3 linked regions of the Bombyx mori genome follow. The protein of the gene in region 2 purifies or fractionates together with the protein of the main gene of each other region. This does not show direct contact. Links are inferred from orthologs where the notes say so. Each region holds a gene or a part of one and is shown on either strand. Other genes may lie near its edges.

What was found. Proteins that work in one complex are often made in the same cells at the same time.
Region 1: the proteins of splicing factor 3B subunit 1 (region 2) and coiled-coil domain-containing protein 97 purify together in Homo sapiens (co-immunoprecipitation; 4 studies listed by BioGRID and IntAct, counting the BioPlex papers as one, with this or other methods). This does not show direct contact. The link is inferred for Bombyx mori from reciprocal best matches to the Homo sapiens genes SF3B1 and CCDC97.
Region 3: the proteins of splicing factor 3B subunit 1 (region 2) and small nuclear ribonucleoprotein protein F purify together in Homo sapiens (co-immunoprecipitation; 3 studies listed by BioGRID and IntAct, counting the BioPlex papers as one, with this or other methods). This does not show direct contact. The link is inferred for Bombyx mori from reciprocal best matches to the Homo sapiens genes SF3B1 and SNRPF.

The regions. Positions count from the first base shown.
Region 1 is NC_085118.1:10,064,461-10,070,193, forward strand, and holds coiled-coil domain-containing protein 97, read left to right. Parts: upstream 1-2,867; 5' UTR 2,868-2,949; coding exon 2,950-3,993; 3' UTR 3,994-4,062; downstream 4,063-5,733. Other genes in the region: ATP-binding cassette sub-family C member 10, read right to left, coding at 64-181, 264-875. UniProt on the Homo sapiens protein: May play a role pre-mRNA splicing through the association with the splicing factor SF3B complex which is involved in branch-site recognition.
Region 2 is NC_085116.1:8,398,572-8,405,366, reverse strand, and holds the start of splicing factor 3B subunit 1, read right to left. Parts: upstream 4,712-6,795; 5' UTR 3,863-4,711; coding exon 3,835-3,862; intron 3,362-3,834; coding exon 3,093-3,361; intron 3,020-3,092; coding exon 2,893-3,019; intron 1,636-2,892; coding exon 1,556-1,635; intron 1,331-1,555; coding exon 1,139-1,330; intron 1,032-1,138; coding exon 842-1,031; intron 1-841. UniProt on the Homo sapiens protein: Component of the 17S U2 SnRNP complex of the spliceosome, a large ribonucleoprotein complex that removes introns from transcribed pre-mRNAs.
Region 3 is NC_085117.1:15,789,280-15,795,188, reverse strand, and holds small nuclear ribonucleoprotein protein F, read right to left. Parts: upstream 3,065-5,909; 5' UTR 2,987-3,064; intron 2,905-2,986; 5' UTR 2,894-2,904; coding exon 2,719-2,893; intron 2,061-2,718; coding exon 1,969-2,060; 3' UTR 1,672-1,968; downstream 1-1,671. Other genes in the region: RAB6-interacting golgin, read left to right, coding at 4,450-4,528, 5,041-5,494. UniProt on the Homo sapiens protein: Plays a role in pre-mRNA splicing as a core component of the spliceosomal U1, U2, U4 and U5 small nuclear ribonucleoproteins (snRNPs), the building blocks of the spliceosome.

The DNA of each region.
Region 1 (5,733 bases), on a different chromosome or scaffold from region 2:
AAATATGGCATCAAATCCACAAGTATTTTCGTAATTAGACTAAACATTATATGCATATATTACCTTTTTGTAGCAAAGGGTTCACCCAAGTAAACATCAACTTTGAAAAAAAGCTGTTGCCCTGCATAGCTGTACCAAGAACATCATCATCTACATGGGGTATCAGTGGAGTGTACTCGCTCTATTAAAACAGATATTTAAAATACATTTATTTGCCTTGTCAGTACTCTAAATACACAAAACTGATATAAATTTATACTTACATGAGAGTGTTGGGAGCCTACTAAGCATGGCGAGTAAAATGTTGGTCGTGAGTAATTTGAAGGAATCAGAGTTAAAAAATACAGTACGTGACAACATAATGCAGCTGTATTGAAACCTGTTTGTGAACCAGAAATGATGTTGCTACGGAGAGCTATCAGGTTTAAAAGAACTGTACAGCACCATAAAAATAATTGCATTACTGGACCTCGAGAGCTACGCCCAAGACGGTGTTTCAATGCTAAAACATATCCAAAGTGCACCAGCCATGCTAAACAGGATGAACCAGCAGCAAAATAGTCTACTGGATATAGAGTGAAGTCAGGTTTGGTAGTAAATATATATATTTCTATGATCGGTATGAAGGCTAAGCCTAAAACAACAAAACTTCGAAATATTATGGCACGTTCTTGAGTTTTTTCTCGTATCACCCAATCTTTTCGATATCCAACAAAATACCCTGATACTATAGCTATTATAAAGTACACTGGTACTTGTAAGAATAGCTCTTGAAAACACACGCTGAAGTCTTTCGTGGCATCATTCCATGGATGAAGCCCTCCAGGCCCGCACATATCTTCCCATTTCCAATTTATATTCAATATAAAAGACATTCTGGTCTTCTATTATCTCTACGATGTTCCGCAATAAGTCACAAGGGCACTGTTATAAGATTCTACTATTTAATTAGAAAGGGTAAGTATGTTCTTTGTAGATTTATAAATAAAACACAATGAAACACGCAACTAATAACCATTTTTCATGTTTCGTCTTTCTATTGTTGATAATTATTGTATTTCTACTGTACGTATCGTAAGTTATCAGTTTACTGTTTAATTTTTATCTTTTTCCTTTTATTTTGAATAATATTTGTTGATTTGAACAAGCACTAGTTTACTTCTCATTGATTTGATGTTAAAAAGTTCAAAATTAATAAATCATCAAAAATAATCAAAATTCAACAACGATGACACTGATGACATATTAAGTGTATAATCTATGCTGATGACAGTGAAAGCGGAGTAGTTTTTTTAAAGGGATTTTATGACCTCGTAACTAAGACCTTTAAGTCAAGTCTTATTTTAATTTATATTCTTATTTTTATGAAAATGATAACATCGAGTGAAATAAAATGAAATGAAGATTATTAATTTGAGACATTAATCAACTGGGATGAAATTAAATGAAATGAAATGAGATGATATAGGATGAAATATAATCTCAGAAAAGTGGTTGTCATTTACTAACATTTTTTTCAGTGGACTTTATGGAGGATCCCGAGAAGTTATGTCCAGCGGCTTTGTTTCATTTTCCCACATTTGTGCACTTTCACAGATATTAAACAGCTAATAAACCACCGTTATTACACATTTAAACCTGAAGAAACACTAAAAAGACAAAATAAAACAAATCACACAGCTTCACTCCTCGCTTTCCCGCCAAAAAGTCAACATAATAGCAAATAAAAAATAAGACAGATTAGTAAAAACAGACAGTATTATCTAATAGGTTGGGGAAAAAGTATTATCGCATTATAGCATGTATGAATAAGCAGGCAAAGAGCGTGGCTTATACACGCTAGTCTGTCGTAGTTATATTTTTTTTATGTCATTAAAAAGCCGGTGTATCTCTTTTTATTGCTTTTTGGAAGTTTTGACGTCAACTCGATGAATAGCACATTGAGTGAGCGTGAATTTCCGCAGACCTTTTATCTTGAAAAAAAGACAGTTATGTTAGCCACAGTTTTATTCCAATGTCCCAACCATCGTGAACAACGATTATTGACATTTAATACACAAAACAACACCCATTTATATATTATACATCACAATAAACTATTAAAAAAACATTAAAATAAAACTTCAAGTGACGCTTAACTCGGGTTGCTGCCAAAACTCTGATCATTTAAAATAAGAATAGAGTAATGGTAGGCCATTGAGATTTTTACTAATGGAATCATTAACATCTAAAAATATTAAATAATTCATGGTTTTAAGTAATAATTATTATTACAATATATAAATATAGAATTGAACAAAAATAAACTTAAAAGTCTGTGAATTATAACCATTAGCAATTTTTTTTAATTTATTGTTCAAGTCACAGACAACTCTTTCGTTTGGCAGTATATACTTTACTAAAAGGTTTACTATAAGGCTGTATGGGCTAAACCCTTTGCCTATTGACGAATTTAAAAACCATGGCACTTAGTTTTGGGATGTTATCAAATAAGTAATTTATTTTTTTGTAAAACAATGCCAGGGTGAAAGAAATGTTGATACATAAACTAAACAACGTGAAAAAATAAGACATAGTTTTTCAAGTACAAATAGTTTTGACATAAAGTTGGCCCACTTTTGGGCATTGTCCTTTCTATAGTAATGGGATCATGTCTCTACCTACAAGATGGCAAAAAGTTATCGAACAAAATGGTACTTGCATACTTTAGTTAAATGTAAATAAACTATTTTCCTATATTAAAAAATGTTGTGAATTTTCTTACAAAATGCGAAGAAACTTTTCTCCCAACCTATTATGTTACAAATACTAAATAGCTTGTGCTATATATATAATATCTAAGATTTGGCTTTATGGTGTAACACTTTTGCCTTTCCAGTTGGAAAAATAAAACTACAAACTACTACTATTATGCTCTACATAAATAATTATTACTAGAGATTTATTGTTATGACAATGGAAAAAATCAACATTAATTTAAAAAATAAATTCAACGAAAGTGAAGTGAATCCTGTAACTGATATCATTGACTACCTAGTAAGAAGTGCAAATATATCCTTTAAGAATTCCCATGCTAATGAACAACCGGTAAGGACATGTGAGAAACTGCAAATGGCCCTTGAAATTTATAAAAGATCACCTGTAGAATTCCTCATGCAATTCGGAAAATATTTAGCTCCTAATCACATAAAATACTTTGAAAATATCTCTAGCTCCAAAGATCAAACATTTAGGAATTACGTGCACTATTTGAGTGACTATCATTCGGAAACAAGCAGACGCAAGAGGATAAAGAACAGAAGATATAAGGCATTACAAAAAATGAAGATTAAAACTGATTATTTTAGTGAAAAACAAATGATGTACAGAAATCCTCTTTTATATGAACAGTTGGTTGGGCAATATTTAACAGATGAAGAAATAAAAGAAAGAGATCGAATAACTGAAAACGCCAGTTTTCTTAACTTAATATTGGAAACTGTAGATCACAACCACATGAGAGAGGTGAAGAATGTGCAAATGCTCGAAGAAGGTATTCATGAAACACCAGAAGCTTCTGAATTTTCTTTGAATGATAGTACTAATGAAAACATAAATTTTCAACACAAAAGAAAATGGGGTGAATTCACTACCCCAGATACGAAACCTGACTATATTCCAGAAAACAGAAAACACAGAGTTATTAGTGCTCCAGAAAAGAAGTTATTGTATGATGAGTTCCTTCAAGAAATGTATAGCAGCTTTATAGATGGTAATGATATTGACATTGATTATAAAACTATTGATAATGATGAGCAGTATGATGATTTAGAGCAGGAGTCACAAGATGCAGAAGATAAATATTTTGATTCTGAAACAAATGATGTTGAGAACTTAGAAGAACACATGCACCTTGTAGAGGAATATGGTCAAAGTAAAATAAATAATCTTGAAAAAGATGACCCTCTTGATGTGTTTATGGAGCATATATCTAAGAAGTTTCAACTGAATTAAATGATTGTTTACTAATATGAAAAGTTCAATAATATTAAAGTAATTATAATCTTTAGGTTAATTTCCCAACCAATGTCTTTTCTTTTCTCATAAACCATCAACATTATTATCAGTTAAAGTTTCTGTCTAAGTTCAACTAGTAAAAAATGAGATGAGAGATTATTTCATAAGATGCAAAACACTGCTCATCCACACTATTTTCACATACTTTTTTGTTGTGTACCATCCAATTTTGGACTCTTCTGAGCACTATAACATATATTTCTTTAAATGAGGTTTGAAAAGAATCCTCAGCAGTAGGTAGTGACCAAGCGATGTACCTTTGAAGTCACAAGCATTAGAATGAAAAAAATAATTCGCAATAAAAAGTGATAGTATTAAAATACAGAAAAAAATCAGATCGGTCTGTCTTTAATTTTGAATAAAGACTATTTTTTATATTACTTTGTTATTTGTACTGAACAAAAATTTTTATTTTCATTGCAGTAAGCTTAGGTAAGAGTTTTTGGTTGACAGCAACTTGCCTGCGTAAAATAGCAGAAGCACATAGGAATGGCTAGTACTTATGATCAACAAGATAGGTTAGGAATATTTATTGTGTTCATGTGAAGCAGGGCACCTAGTGTTGAGTGGTTACTGGAATCCAAAGATGTTACAACGGGAATGCCACTACCCACCTTTACAATTTCATTGACAATAGTGTGTCATCCACAGAAATGAATTAAATTAACGTGGCTCTGGTAAGTTTGATCTGAATGGCAGATTGGCTCTCTTTTTTTTTGCCTGTAATATTTCCCTCATGAAATAACTTAATTCCAACATTTATGAATCATAGGGCCAAAATCTAAGACATGTGGGCTCCCATATAATGTTATGACACAAGACAGTTTTTTTTAAAACCTCGTATAGTCATATGCTCATCTGTCAATAAGCGCAATAAAAACAATTGTTCGGGCCTAAAGGATAAGAATTTATCATATCATTCAGATATGATAAGATTTTTTTAATGAAATACATATTGACACATATCCACGAATATTTTCCACAATACAAGCAAACTGGCGAAAATTATAATTTGCTTTACTAATAGAGCGTCGATAAGCGTTCCGGCTGGAAGAATGGGACAGTCATTACACAATTTGGTTTTCTTTAGCTTAACACCAGGTGGGCAGTGAGCACTTTCAACCGTTAATCTAAAAAAAGTAGTTAAAAAGTGTATGTATGCAATTTTAAGTATAAAATATATCACTTATTTACTGGTGGTAGGACTTCTTGTGAGCCCGCACGGGTAGGTACCACCGCCCTGCCTGTTTCTGCTGTGAAGCAGTAATGCGTTCCGGTTTGAAGGGTGGAGCAGCCGTTGTAACTATACTGAGACCTTAGAACTTATATCTCAAGGTGGGTGGCGCATATACGTTGTAGTTGTCTATGGGCTCCAGTAACCACTTAACACCAGGTGGGCTGTGAGCTCGTCCAACCTAAGCAATAAAAAAATTATTAGTGATCTCGCGTCAGGTACAGCCAAAATTGCCATCCATTTTTTGTTTCCGGACGTTTCTACATCCTGTTTAAGTCACATTTGATAATTAAAAATAATTTCATGTTAATAATCCGGAGAAGCCTTGATATTGTTCGCTATCTATTTATGCAATTGTTACACAATATTAGTCGTTAAATATAGAAATGTTACATAATATCTTTATTAAATATAGAAATGTTACACAATTAACTACTTTCTTA
Region 2 (6,795 bases):
GACTTGAAAATATATTTAACCCTTTGAGGTCCGGTTTCCACACGTATTGGACATATACTCATACATTAGATTAGTCTCGCAAAGGGTTACCTAATGCAAAATATAAAAAAAAAACATTGTAAAAATCTAATACGTAAGTGATTGTGAAGTTATAAATTCGCGTATGTTTTATCTGGATTTGTAGTTGTACTGTTTGTCGTAGTGTGAGAAACAAACATCGTGTGGCGCGCGAGTAATTTCACATAGGGTACTTCTAATAGATTTAGCGACAGCCAGGACGGAGCCATTCCGTGTTTCATTAGTCGCTAATAAGCAAATATAGGTCTGTGAAATCTACTTCTGCAATTTCCAATCCAGATTTTATTCCATATATGAGGCCTATAAATGTCGTATGGGTAGTATATGAACGGTTTTATTGGGTTAATTAATATTAAGATTTTTAACTTAACAGTGATAGTCTTTACGAAGTGGTATTGAATTATTTTGTTTCAGTACATTATGAATTTACGTTTATTGGACTGCATTTGAAATGAGCAACATCAAAATGGGGTATCATAAGGTAGTTTTCCAAAAAGTGTTTTAATATATTAGTGTAATTATAAATTTTGTTACTTGGACATATTGAGGATCTCACGGCCTACCTATATGAACGACGTATATGCCGTGGATGGTGGCCCACCTTGAGACATGAGTTCTTAATCTCAATTCTATAGCAAAATGGCTGCTCTAGCCCCCCATGAAACCGGAACGCATTACTACTTCGCGGCAGAGATAAGCAGGGTGATGATATCTATTCTTACGAGATAATAAGACGAGCATTTTCTAATAAAATATTTAGAACCTCTATCTGTTTTTGGTGTTTCATCCCAGCGATTTCTGCGAGAAGCGTGATGAGCCGGAGTTTCGCGCCCCGGAGTGGCGTGTCCAGGAGTGATATGTCCTGGTGTGGCATCCCAAACACGTGCCGATGGCGTGGCACCGGGCGTCTCGCCGCCCCGACCTGCTCCCGGAGTTTCTTCCCATGTGCCTCTCTACCAATAGAATAATATATGTCATCAAGTTTTTTAAATACTACTCGATTGATTGGTTCAATCAATCTAAAATCATATTTTTAAAACCTAAATTATCTATTAAATACCTCAGCATCCCAAGACGGAGTTGTCTGTGAGCTTGGTGTAGTTGATACTGTTTTCTTAACAACTGGTGTTTCTTCAGAACTTTGATCCCATCTACCTTTGCGTTTTGCTGCTGGTTTTATGGATTCTCCATTAGATTGTGGTACTGGTTTGAGAGTTCCTTCCCTAGCTTTCTCTAACAGTTTCTTTCTGAGCTGTAAAGAAATTCGTTTTAATTAGTAATAATAATTATGATTGATATTAGGCAATTTAGAGTTCCTAGTATTACTATTAGTATTAACATTTCCATTCCTAGAATTATCAATTCCATTCATAATTTACTTTCAAAATTACCCATATGATGCTAAGGGTTACTGCAAAAGCAAGATGTATAGTTGTTTCTATAAAATACTTAAACTCTGGAAACAAATTGAACTCACTTCTGTTTCTTCAGCAAGAAGATACTGCTCTTTCATTATATCAGTGTATGTCCTCGATCCGACATCAGGAGTTTTCCCACCTGAAGTAAATGTTAAGATTAGTAGACATGTTGTGTGTGTGTGTATCTATACTGGATATGACAAGTGAAGCTAACCATTTTTCAAATTATAATACTTAAAAAATTACCTTCCCCTGATGCTTAAAAGGCACATGTAGTGTTTAAAAATGTTGACTGTGAAAATTAATGTAATTGAATGAGTGTAAATGAAACAATATTAACTCTCTTCATCTCTAAATTTTAAGGAAGGATTAAAAATGCCAAATATAAGTAATTAATTAATTTTTATTGTTTGCATCAAATTATTTGCACCAATGGCCAAAAGGTACTATGAATAGAAAGAACATTTATGTATGTATAATATAAGACTATACATATTATGTTACCCATAGGAGTGAAACGGTTCCTATCTAAAAAATTCTAACATTACAATAGCAGACCCAGAATGGTGCTTGCCTAATGGTTAGTGATTACTAGTGCTTATAGATATGTGTGTAAGATACCAATATATTTTATTGTAAAGTTTTACTTAAAGATATAGACTGAAGAAAGTGGAATTGTCATAACTTGAAAAACCCAACTTTATATCAGAGTCTTACATATATAATACAACTAGCTGACCCGGCAAACATTGTTTTGCCATATATAACATTTCTAGAGAATTTCTAGTGTAGAAAAAAAAACTAACTTATTGTAAGTGTGTAAGGATGTGGTAAATGAGTGAAAGAGGTATGTAGTGCTGTGAATGATGAGGGAATATATAATAAAAATAACAAAACCTCATTTAACCACATAATACCTCATTATAACAAAAAAAAAGTCAAAATAAAAAAAATATGTTAGGGGTGGACAACCCTAATCACTTAGGGGTATGAAAAATAGATAGTAGCCGATTCTAAAGCTTACTAAATATGCATAAAAAAATTCATGAGAATCGGTCAAGCGGTTTCGGAGGAGTATGGGAACGAACATTGTGACACGAGAATTTTATATATTAGATATGGTACAAAGTGATTTAGTGCAAAGTGCAAGTTACAACATTTCTGCTTTCTCACGTCTATATATTTTGCCACTAGTTAGAATAGGCACTGCATATTTTAACCTGATTTAATCTGCCTAAGTATTTACCTAATGTCAACCTTACATGAGAAAGAAGTGTAAGATTGGAAATCAGAATAGTAGTTTTGATAAATTGTATTATAGTATTGTGTGTGGTGTGTATCTGTGAGCGTGTGTACAATTGTTGAAGATTAATGAAAAAAATTAAAATTAGCCAACCTTCTGCAAAAGGATCATTTCTTTCAGGTGATATAATCATCCTGCGCCTCTTTTGTCGATATTCATCCTCTCTATCAGCGATAGTTGGTCTTCGTTTGTCAGCAAAAGGATCGAATTCTTTATCACTCTAAAACAATATTTTTAGATGACATTTTTAACAAAAATTTATGTATAGCAGTTAACAATTCATTTCAACATACTTGTGCAATGTCATTCAACAGTGAAGCAGGTGCTGTATATCCTGGCCTTTTCTGAGTTATAGGAACATTTTCGAGGTCATCATCTTCTACTTCGTCATTAGCAGCAATTGATGTCACATATCCGTCATATCTGGACTTGCCTCCTTGGCCTGTGCTATCATATATATCGCTGTCATAGTAAGTCTCGCCGAGAGACACGCCTTTGTTGGAACCATTTTCTGGTGCTTCAGTTTTTTTTGATTGTATTTCTTTTATTTGTGCTTCAATGGCTAAAATTATCAATGCAATTTAAATATTATTTAAGCATTTAACATTAATGAGAGTTCATAGGTCAGCCAATGTAAATGAACTAGTCAGGACAAATCGAAAATTCCTAAGTGTGATCATTCCTTCACAAATTGAATCGATAGTTATAAAATATTAAATAAATAAATTGTTTAGCGTCTAATTTTGTTATTGCCTTAACTTAAAGCCACTGATAGATCAAACAAAACTTTTCAAATTTAGAAAAGATAAATATTACAGAAGTGACCCAAAAACTAGAAGTTTTATGGTAAAAGGATTTCAAGCAAGCTTAAGGGGACTTAAGCGTGAAATCATATGTTATTTGATATCTGATGGCTATAACATTGAGTAAATTACAGAAAAACCTTTCAAGCTACACTTTTAAGCAAGCACATTTAGAATAATAATAAAATGGCTGTTATTGTACGCAAATCAATATGTTAGAAGACAACCTTACCTTCATGAGTTCTTGGTATTTTATCCATTTTTAGAAGATTGTAGACATTTATGCAACTTTACGGACAATGAAATCAAATTATTTTCTCTTCTATCGATGATTTATTAGATAGGTAGCGTGAGTTTTTTTCGTAAACACAGACTATGTCCGATTTTATGCATAGGTAGTTACATACTACCTCTTCCTAACCTATGGAAAATGAACTCCATTTCTCATAGAAAACTGTTTGGACTTTTAGGCGGAAACGCGGGGAGTGAAGTTGCGTGATTAGTTTTATTTTGTCTATTTAGTGTTTCTTCAGGTTTAAATATGTAATAACCAGAGGTCGGAGTAGGTAGATTGATTTAAGGTTGTTGACGTCAAACGTAGAGGACAATATGGATAGGCCTCCAAAATACCGGAACTTCATATTTTTGTGATATTTGTTCCGGAATTTTGAAGCATGAATCTGTGTTTAAGGTGAAAAACGTATTAATAATATCAGTATTTTATTTTATACAAAAGCACCTTGGAATAGTTACACCGTATTTTGTCCCTTTCTGTTGAATTAGAAATGACGCTTGTTAGTATGAGACAAAACTTAGACAACCTGTGTGACTCATTGGGTGTTTGTTAGAAAAAACGATGCGCGCACGCTGTGTTTCAGGCATCTCACTCGCTTACCTCGGTTCGTAGTGCGCTTCTAATTTGTGAAATTTCAGTGTTGGGTAAATAATAATCTCACCCTGGCTTCTTGACTGATTTCTTGTACCTTCTTAAAACGATGAATTTGGCTTGTATCTATGGACATCGATTTGTTTTTAGATTGGATCTCTACTTCATGTTATTTTGGTTCAGGTAAGCTTTAATAATTTTCTTATGTAAGTATGTTTTAGGCCTTTTTAAAGCATATATATTCTATATTTTTAAATATAGAAATTGTATCCGATGAGGATTAAAAACATATTTTTTTTCAATTTAAAAAAATAATCATTATGGATAAAATGGCATGTCCATATTATAATCTCTTGACGCAAGTATCTCTTGACGTAAGTAAAATCAATCTACCTACTCCGACCACTGGTAATAACTAGGAGTGGGCGATATAAATCGTATCTAGATTCAATATCTATATATCGCAGCAATATCGTTGAATCCGATATCGCCCCGCACGAAATCTATATATCGATATCGGCCGATACACGATATTGCTCGATGTGATGCGCATCGGCATATCGTACCGATTCGTGAATCGAAATCTATATAACGATATCAGCCGATACACGATATTACTCGATGTGATGCGCATCGGCATATCGTACCGATTCGTGAATATCGGCAATATTCGTTTGGTTCGTATCGAACCGGCCAGAGTGAGTGAGCGCACGATAGGGATATCATGTGATGAATGAAACAGAAACAGGCATTATCCATACAATTGTAAACCTTATATTTAAGTCCATATGTCTGTAGATTATTCTTAGCGTATCAGCAGGATACAATTTAGGAAAGAAGTTTCAATTTTCAACCCTAACTTGAATGCAGTATAGCCTATTTGCATCGTTGAATTTAATTTCACGCGCTTTGACCTTGAACTACAATTTTTGGACAAGTGTTTATAAATACTTAAAAGTTTTTTGTGTTTGATTTTTAAAGTACACATTTTTCTATTTTTAGTTGAATCCAAATAATTTAGTTTATTTCTTGTATTTGTATTAAACTTTTGAAATCTACACTCTTTTGGTATATTTTGTAATTTTAAATTAAGATACAAAATACTAAAAACTGAAAATAATGTAGCCAGTCCTAGTAGCTAAGCCTGATAAAAGCATGAAGGAAAGTTTTTTTGATATTTTTATTTTCATGTTCTTTTTATTACTTTAAAATCATATTATAAATTGATATCAGAAAACCAACCGTATAACGTTGACTTAAATCTATATCTACTACGATATTATATCAGCGTATCGTTTCAAATCTCAAATATCATGAATCGAGAAAATCTACTAGCATCCATCAATATATAGATTCAGAAAATATATAGATTCAATATCCGATATTAATCCTCGATATATAGATACGATTCGATACGCGGCAAAACCGATATTACCCACTCCTAGTAATAACGGAGGTTTATTAACTGTTTAGTATCTGTAAAAGTGCACAAATATGGGAAAAGAAAACAAAGCCACTGGACGTAACTTCTCAGGATCCTCCAAAAAGTCCACCGAAAAAGTCTCAGTAAATAACCACCATTTTACTGAGATTATATTTATATCCCATATCATCGCATCTCATTTCATTTAATATCATTTCTTTTCATGCCATGTTTCATATTAATCAACTTCATTTCACTTCGTATTATCATTTTTCATATATTATGTAGTGCAGTTTTCATTAAAATAAAAATAAAATTTGACCTAAAGGTCTTAGTTACCAGGTTATAAAATCACTTAAAAAAATAGAAAAGGTTTCGAGACTAGAGATGAGATTTATTTGTTAAGATTGTTAAGCTTAAGGCGTAAAGTGGCTGTTTTCCAATTACAGCACAAGAGCGCATTATGCGGCATAATGCTCAACTAAGCTTCAGCATAATTCGGCATTGTGCGTCACTGAGTCACATTATGCTCTGTAATTAACCATTACTTAATGGTAGTTTTCCAATTACAGAGCTTAGTTGAGCATTATGCCGCATAATGCGCTCTTGTGCTGTAATTGGAAAACGGCCAGTATGAGTAAATAAAAACTATGAAAGAAAATCAATATTTAAAACTTAAAAGTATTTGGTTTAGTTGATATAGAAGTCTATTAGAGAAATATTACAAACTTAAGACATTTCATTAATCTGACCTTAGCTTTCTTGGTAATCCTCCTATCTTTCTGTATCTTTCCCAGCTGTTTGACTGCCGACTTGATGATGGCGCACCGTCGCTTAATCTCGTCACTAGATCCTTTAATTATTGAGATAGTAGACCGAGGTAG
Region 3 (5,909 bases), on a different chromosome or scaffold from region 2:
ATGTATTAACAACTGCCTGAACTTCTTCATAGCAAACCTAACACATCAAGAGCAGCTGTTTCGCTAATGAATCGATAACGACATTGTGATAGCGATCCGCTGAGAAGTGTCGGCGAGAAACTCAGTGGGCTGATGCATTCTCGCTTTACTGTCGAAGAAGGTGTCTTCGACGCTGTTTTTATCCTCTCAAAAGTCGTGAAGATTTCAAATCGTATCTGTCTTCAGCGAAATCGTATCATCTTGTGCCGAGTCTTAGGCGGATTTTTTGAAAAATCTGATAAAACCATTTTATTCATTACAGTGGTTTTATTATGTTACCCACTCACATTTTAACAAATACTTATACAAGACAGAGGGATAGCATTTTGACGTGATTAATCGATAAGTATTGGCTACACGCACGAAAAAATGTCACGTTCCGCCTGAGCGTGCAAGCGAGAGCACGGAACATGCGATAGAGGCACGATCGGCCCTTTTTTTTCCCTACCTATGCTGATAGCCATGAGAGGCTATTTCAGCTTCACCCTAAGGTTTGTAGGTGAGCTCACGGGGCTCAACCGGAGAGTTGCTAACACTGACCCTAGCAAGAGCAGTGCTTCGCAGAATCTACCACCGGATCGGAAACGCGACCCACTGAGAAGATCCGGCGAGAAACTCAGTGGGCTGTGTCTATGGGTTAATTCGCTCGTCGAGCCCTTCGTCGCAAGCGACGGGTTCGACGAGGACGGTGACCAGAGTCGACCCAAGTGTTGGCTTGTGACACATTTATGTCGCGTGACGTCAGAACTAGCAGTTCGAATAGTTCTCCTACTGACTTTAACGTGTAAAACTATCGTCCGTAAACCGACTTTACAGTTAACCAAAATTTTTTTTTTGGTATTGCCCTGACATTAAGAGTACTATTGTCTCGCGAAATGGACTATAAGAATTTCAGTCATCCGTGCACGATAGACTAATGTAGGACATTAGTTTGTGACCTGTCTTTAGGTCTGCTCTAAATATGTTCTAATGCTTGTTCACCGACTTCCACAATCAATAGCTTATCCTGTAGGCGTTCAAATTCGAATGGGCAATGTTTATAAGTTCGTAATTCTAAGTGGAATGCAGGATAAGCATAAATGAGATAATATCACTATCCTGCATTCTGTACCTCATGCATCAAGGCTTAAGATGAGTGATGATTTATGTAGTGGGCTATGGCAACTACTTAATACCAAGTAGGCAGTCAGCTTTTTTCTTCATCCAGAGCAATACAAAGTGTGCAGCAATTCGCAAAATGTAGAAGTGTAACCTGTAGGAGTTTTCTATCTCGTTCTCTCACAGACTAGATACTATAAAATAATATGCATCTCTTTTTAGTCACTTCTAGAGCTTTAACTATATTAAAATAAGGTTGTATTATTTACTTTTTAGTTTCAAATCATAACCAGAATGAGAACCAAAGTTTTTTTAAATGAAAATTGTTTTTGCGAATGAGGTTGTGTTTTTAAACGAATTTGGAATCTAATACCCAAAGGCCAAAAAAGAGCAAGAAGGAATGGGGTAAAATACATTGAAGATCATTAGATTTCAATATATTTCCCTGTTTTCACATGCTCATTTTTTGCAAGGACAATATAAATCGCAAACCTTTTCTTGTAAAGTTAGTGTTGAGAAAATAAAACAAGGTTATGGTGAAAATTTACTTATAATTAATTATACAAGTTATGGAATTCATGCTGAAGAGGTTGTTTCAGACATAGTTATTAAAAAAAAAAAAGTATTAAAGTTGTTTCATTTAAACATTGTATACAACAATAGTTCCAATTAACATTTTTCTCCTCAATCATTAGTATTTCGGGATATATACCTAAGGTAATTTTACTGCTAACAGAGTAATATGAAATTTCTATTTTTTTGCTTAAAATTTCCCTTTTGCCTGTTATTCTTAAGATAATTCCTTATTCTAACTTATGTAATAATTACTAATTATTCTTTCATTTCTCCTTCTTCATCTTCTTCATCAGCTCCTCTTACATACAAGACATTATTGCATCTTATTAAAACTTCACCTAAATTACCTGGAAATAAAACCCAATACTTAAATTAATAGGGTTCTTAATTTAGTGTTTTGTATGTATGGACTAACAGAACTAACTGAACTAGTATTCAAAACAAACGCCGTTAAAGCTTTACAGAACTCTGCTGATATGACTTCATTAAGTTTGATGTAGCATGGACTGAATTACAATAAAAAAGATTCTTAAAAAAAAATATAAAAAAAAATATTTAAATGTTAAGATTTGATTTCTAAATTTTATTTACTAATTTAAATTAATTAAATTCACAAAACTATTCACAACCAAAAAGTTTGGTTTGGAATCTTGTAAGTGTCAAGTTGTCTCTTGTTATGAAATTTATTGATTTTGTGCATTCTTTGTAGCAAGTACTTTTTTTTTCTTTAAAAGGGCAAATGAACCCCATGACATTTAGTGTTAAGTGGCTTCTAGAATTTATAAGTTTATTACAATATGAATATTAAATCTACTCTTCAAAGCAGAATGCTTGAAAGCTTTGAAGTCGAAATGGGTGCAGAATAGTGTACTCATAATAGACCAAACAAACAATGAACGTCTCATTTTTAATTCAATTTTGGTCCAGGTCCACTACCAGTAGATCTTAATCTCTTGCTTTAATATGTTTTCGTGATTACTTAAAGTTGTTCACTTAAATACTAACCTGTACAAGTTCCATCGACAAGTTCTTCAGTATTAGCAAGTTGCAAATTCATGTAGCCATCTGTTGATACTAACAAACCTTTGTATTCATGACCCCATTTTAATTTAACTAGCACGGATTTACCCGTTAGACTATTAAGAAATGGTTTGGGATTTATTGGCATAGCAGCCGCCATTTTTGCAGGTTCTAAAAAGTAAATTGGATGTTAATTCATTTTCAAACCACCTTTATTGTTTTCATTGCTTATTTAAGAAACATCAGTACTTACTTTAATATCGGCTAACAAGAAATACAAAATATAACCTCAAAATGTATCGGCTTCGCTTCGAGTTCGACGCTAATTTCTACTCATAGATATTTTTTTATTTTTTATTTATGAAAGCATTGAATTTGCAACACGGCCATCAGCTACTCATAGATAATACACCACCATAGATAAAACACAGGTAGTTTAAAATTTATTATAATTAGTTCTTTCTAGGACTTTTCGGCGGGAACGCGAGGAGTGGTTTGTTTTATTTTGTCTAATTAGTCTTTCTTCAGGTTTAAATGTGTAATAACGGTGGCTTATTAACTGCTTAACTGTAACTGTGAAAGTGCACAAATGTGGGAAAACGAAACAAAGCCACTGAACGTAAGTTCTCGAGATCTTCCAAAAAGTCCACTGAAAAAGTCTCAGTAAATGATCACCATTTTACTGAGATTATACTTCATCCCATATCATCTCATCTCATTTCATTTCATTTCGTTTTCATTTCACTTCATGCCATGTTTCATATTATTCAACTTCATTTCATTTCTATAATTTTCATATAAAAAAGTTACGTAACATAAAATTAAAATAAGACTTGACCTAAAAGTTTTAGTTAGTCCAGGTCATAAAATCCCTTTAAAAAAATGTAGTAAAAAATTAATAATAGTATGTATTTCATCTTATTATTATTGAAGCCCAGTTGAAAAAAAAACTACAGAAAATGGTAATTATTTTCTTTAATTTATATAAACATAAAGTCCTGAGAAGTCAGGTCCAGTGATTTTGTTATATTTCCACAATCTTTTACACTTTCAAATATGTTTAACTAATAGAGAAGGGCTTGTAGCGACTAAAACGACACACCTAAGCTGAAAGTTCTCAACGTATTTGGAGGAATTCGCTATTGATAAAATGTGAAGAGAAGAAAAAATATGTGAAAAGCTTCCATAAAACTATATATTAGCAATAAAAACATTTAGATAAGTTTGTTTAATTAAAGATGGTATGAACGATCTTTGGCCTAACTAAAAACCATCAAATAATTGAAAGTAGAGTCGGTTTTTTTATAAAACTATTTTGGGAATAGAAAACGAGAACTTCAACATTGTGTGTTGAAGTGCTTATGCTGAGAGTAGAGCTATAACACCAAACCATTTTAAAGACAAAATGTACATATTGTTAAAATAAATGTTAAATGGATTCGAATAATTAAATGGGCGAAACACTATTTCAATGGGTTTTTGGCTTAAAAGACCAGAATTCAATCTAACGTGATTAAAAAAGTTCCAATAACGTCAAATAGTCAATGTCAAAGTAGTGTTGCAGAATAGTAAAAATTTGATGTGAATCAGTGTTGAATCAATGAAAATATAGATTTTTACGTTTACGATCTATCTATGAGTTTTGCAATTTTTTACATTAATGCACCTTATATGAAAAACATAACCCTGACATATCTATGTAAAAACAAATAAAACATGTCACAATTTACAGGTTTTAGTGAAGATGACTTGGAAAGAATTAAATCTGGCGAAACTGCCGATGAGAGTAAAAACAGTACGTATGGAGCTTGAAATATACTTTTTTTAAGCATATCAATAACTGAACGCTTATTCAGAGTTTTAAATAGTAGCGCATGCGATTAGAATTTGAAATATTAATATCTCAACATATATAAGTAGATCTAAGAACGATTTTTGGGTATAAATCAAAGCTTCTTCAAGAAAATTAGCTATATTCTAAATAATAATGATTGCCAAATGATTCTAAGAGTTTCAAGAAAAAATATAAATGATAAAAGTCACTGAAGCCAAATTGTGCAAGCAAAATTAAAGTAAAAAAAAAGTAAAATTGATCACAAATTTGCTTCTTTATTACAAATGTCAGTGAAGCATAGTCGTATCTACTAGATATCTATAATTTCTACTTCAGTAACATATAATCCACCAATTGGATTGGCCTATATCAGTGCCTTGCACAACCTTATTATTAATGGTGTGTGTAATGCAACAATTTTTACTGCCTATGAGACAGTCTACATTTAATAACAACTACCATTTTAATTACAGAGTACATAAAAAATTCTAATATAAAACGAGTTAAATTATCAATGAAAACCAAGCCATATGAATATAAGACAGCCATTAATCAAAAACAGGATTCAGACGATGGAATAGACAGCATAGATTTTGATAAATGTAAGCTTAGTTTAAAAACACCAACGTCACCCTCCAAAAATGCTAAAATGGAGGAGGACAAACAAAATCAAGTTATTTTGCAAAATAATGTAGAGGGAAATGATGAAGTACAAGTAGATACTATCGAAGCAGACAAGAGTGATATGACAAGTAGTAGAAGGAGTAGTACTGCTCCGGACATAGTGAGAGGTGTTGATTTTCAATATACAGAACATGAACTGGCCTCTCACAAAGTGAAGTTAGGAGAATTGCAACTCAAACAGAAGATTATGGAAGAACAGAATAAGAAAAGAAAGGAAATGATTGCAAAAGCTTTAGCTGACAGGTTCGATTGATGAATTAATTAATTTAAATTAGTATTATTTATGAATAATTATGGTTAACAAATACTTTTTTAATTTTAATTTAACTTAATTTTTGGGCACACTTGCATTTTTAAAACTAATAAAAATTTACTGAGAAATTCTTTTTTAAAATTGAGCACTATAATACTTATGGTTGTGTCAATTCAATGCAATCAGAAATCTGTCTGAATGTCACCTAGTTATCAGTTATCAGAACTGAGAGATCCATTATCAGTGTTGAGATACAAAACAAGATAATTGCTAAACAGATGTGTACAGTGCATATACATTTTAAACTGCTAAATTTATTTAATTTAAAAAAAACATTATTTTCGAAATGTCTTAAAAAAATGGTGAACAAAAAGTTTTTCCAGCTCATCACTAAAACAATATGGT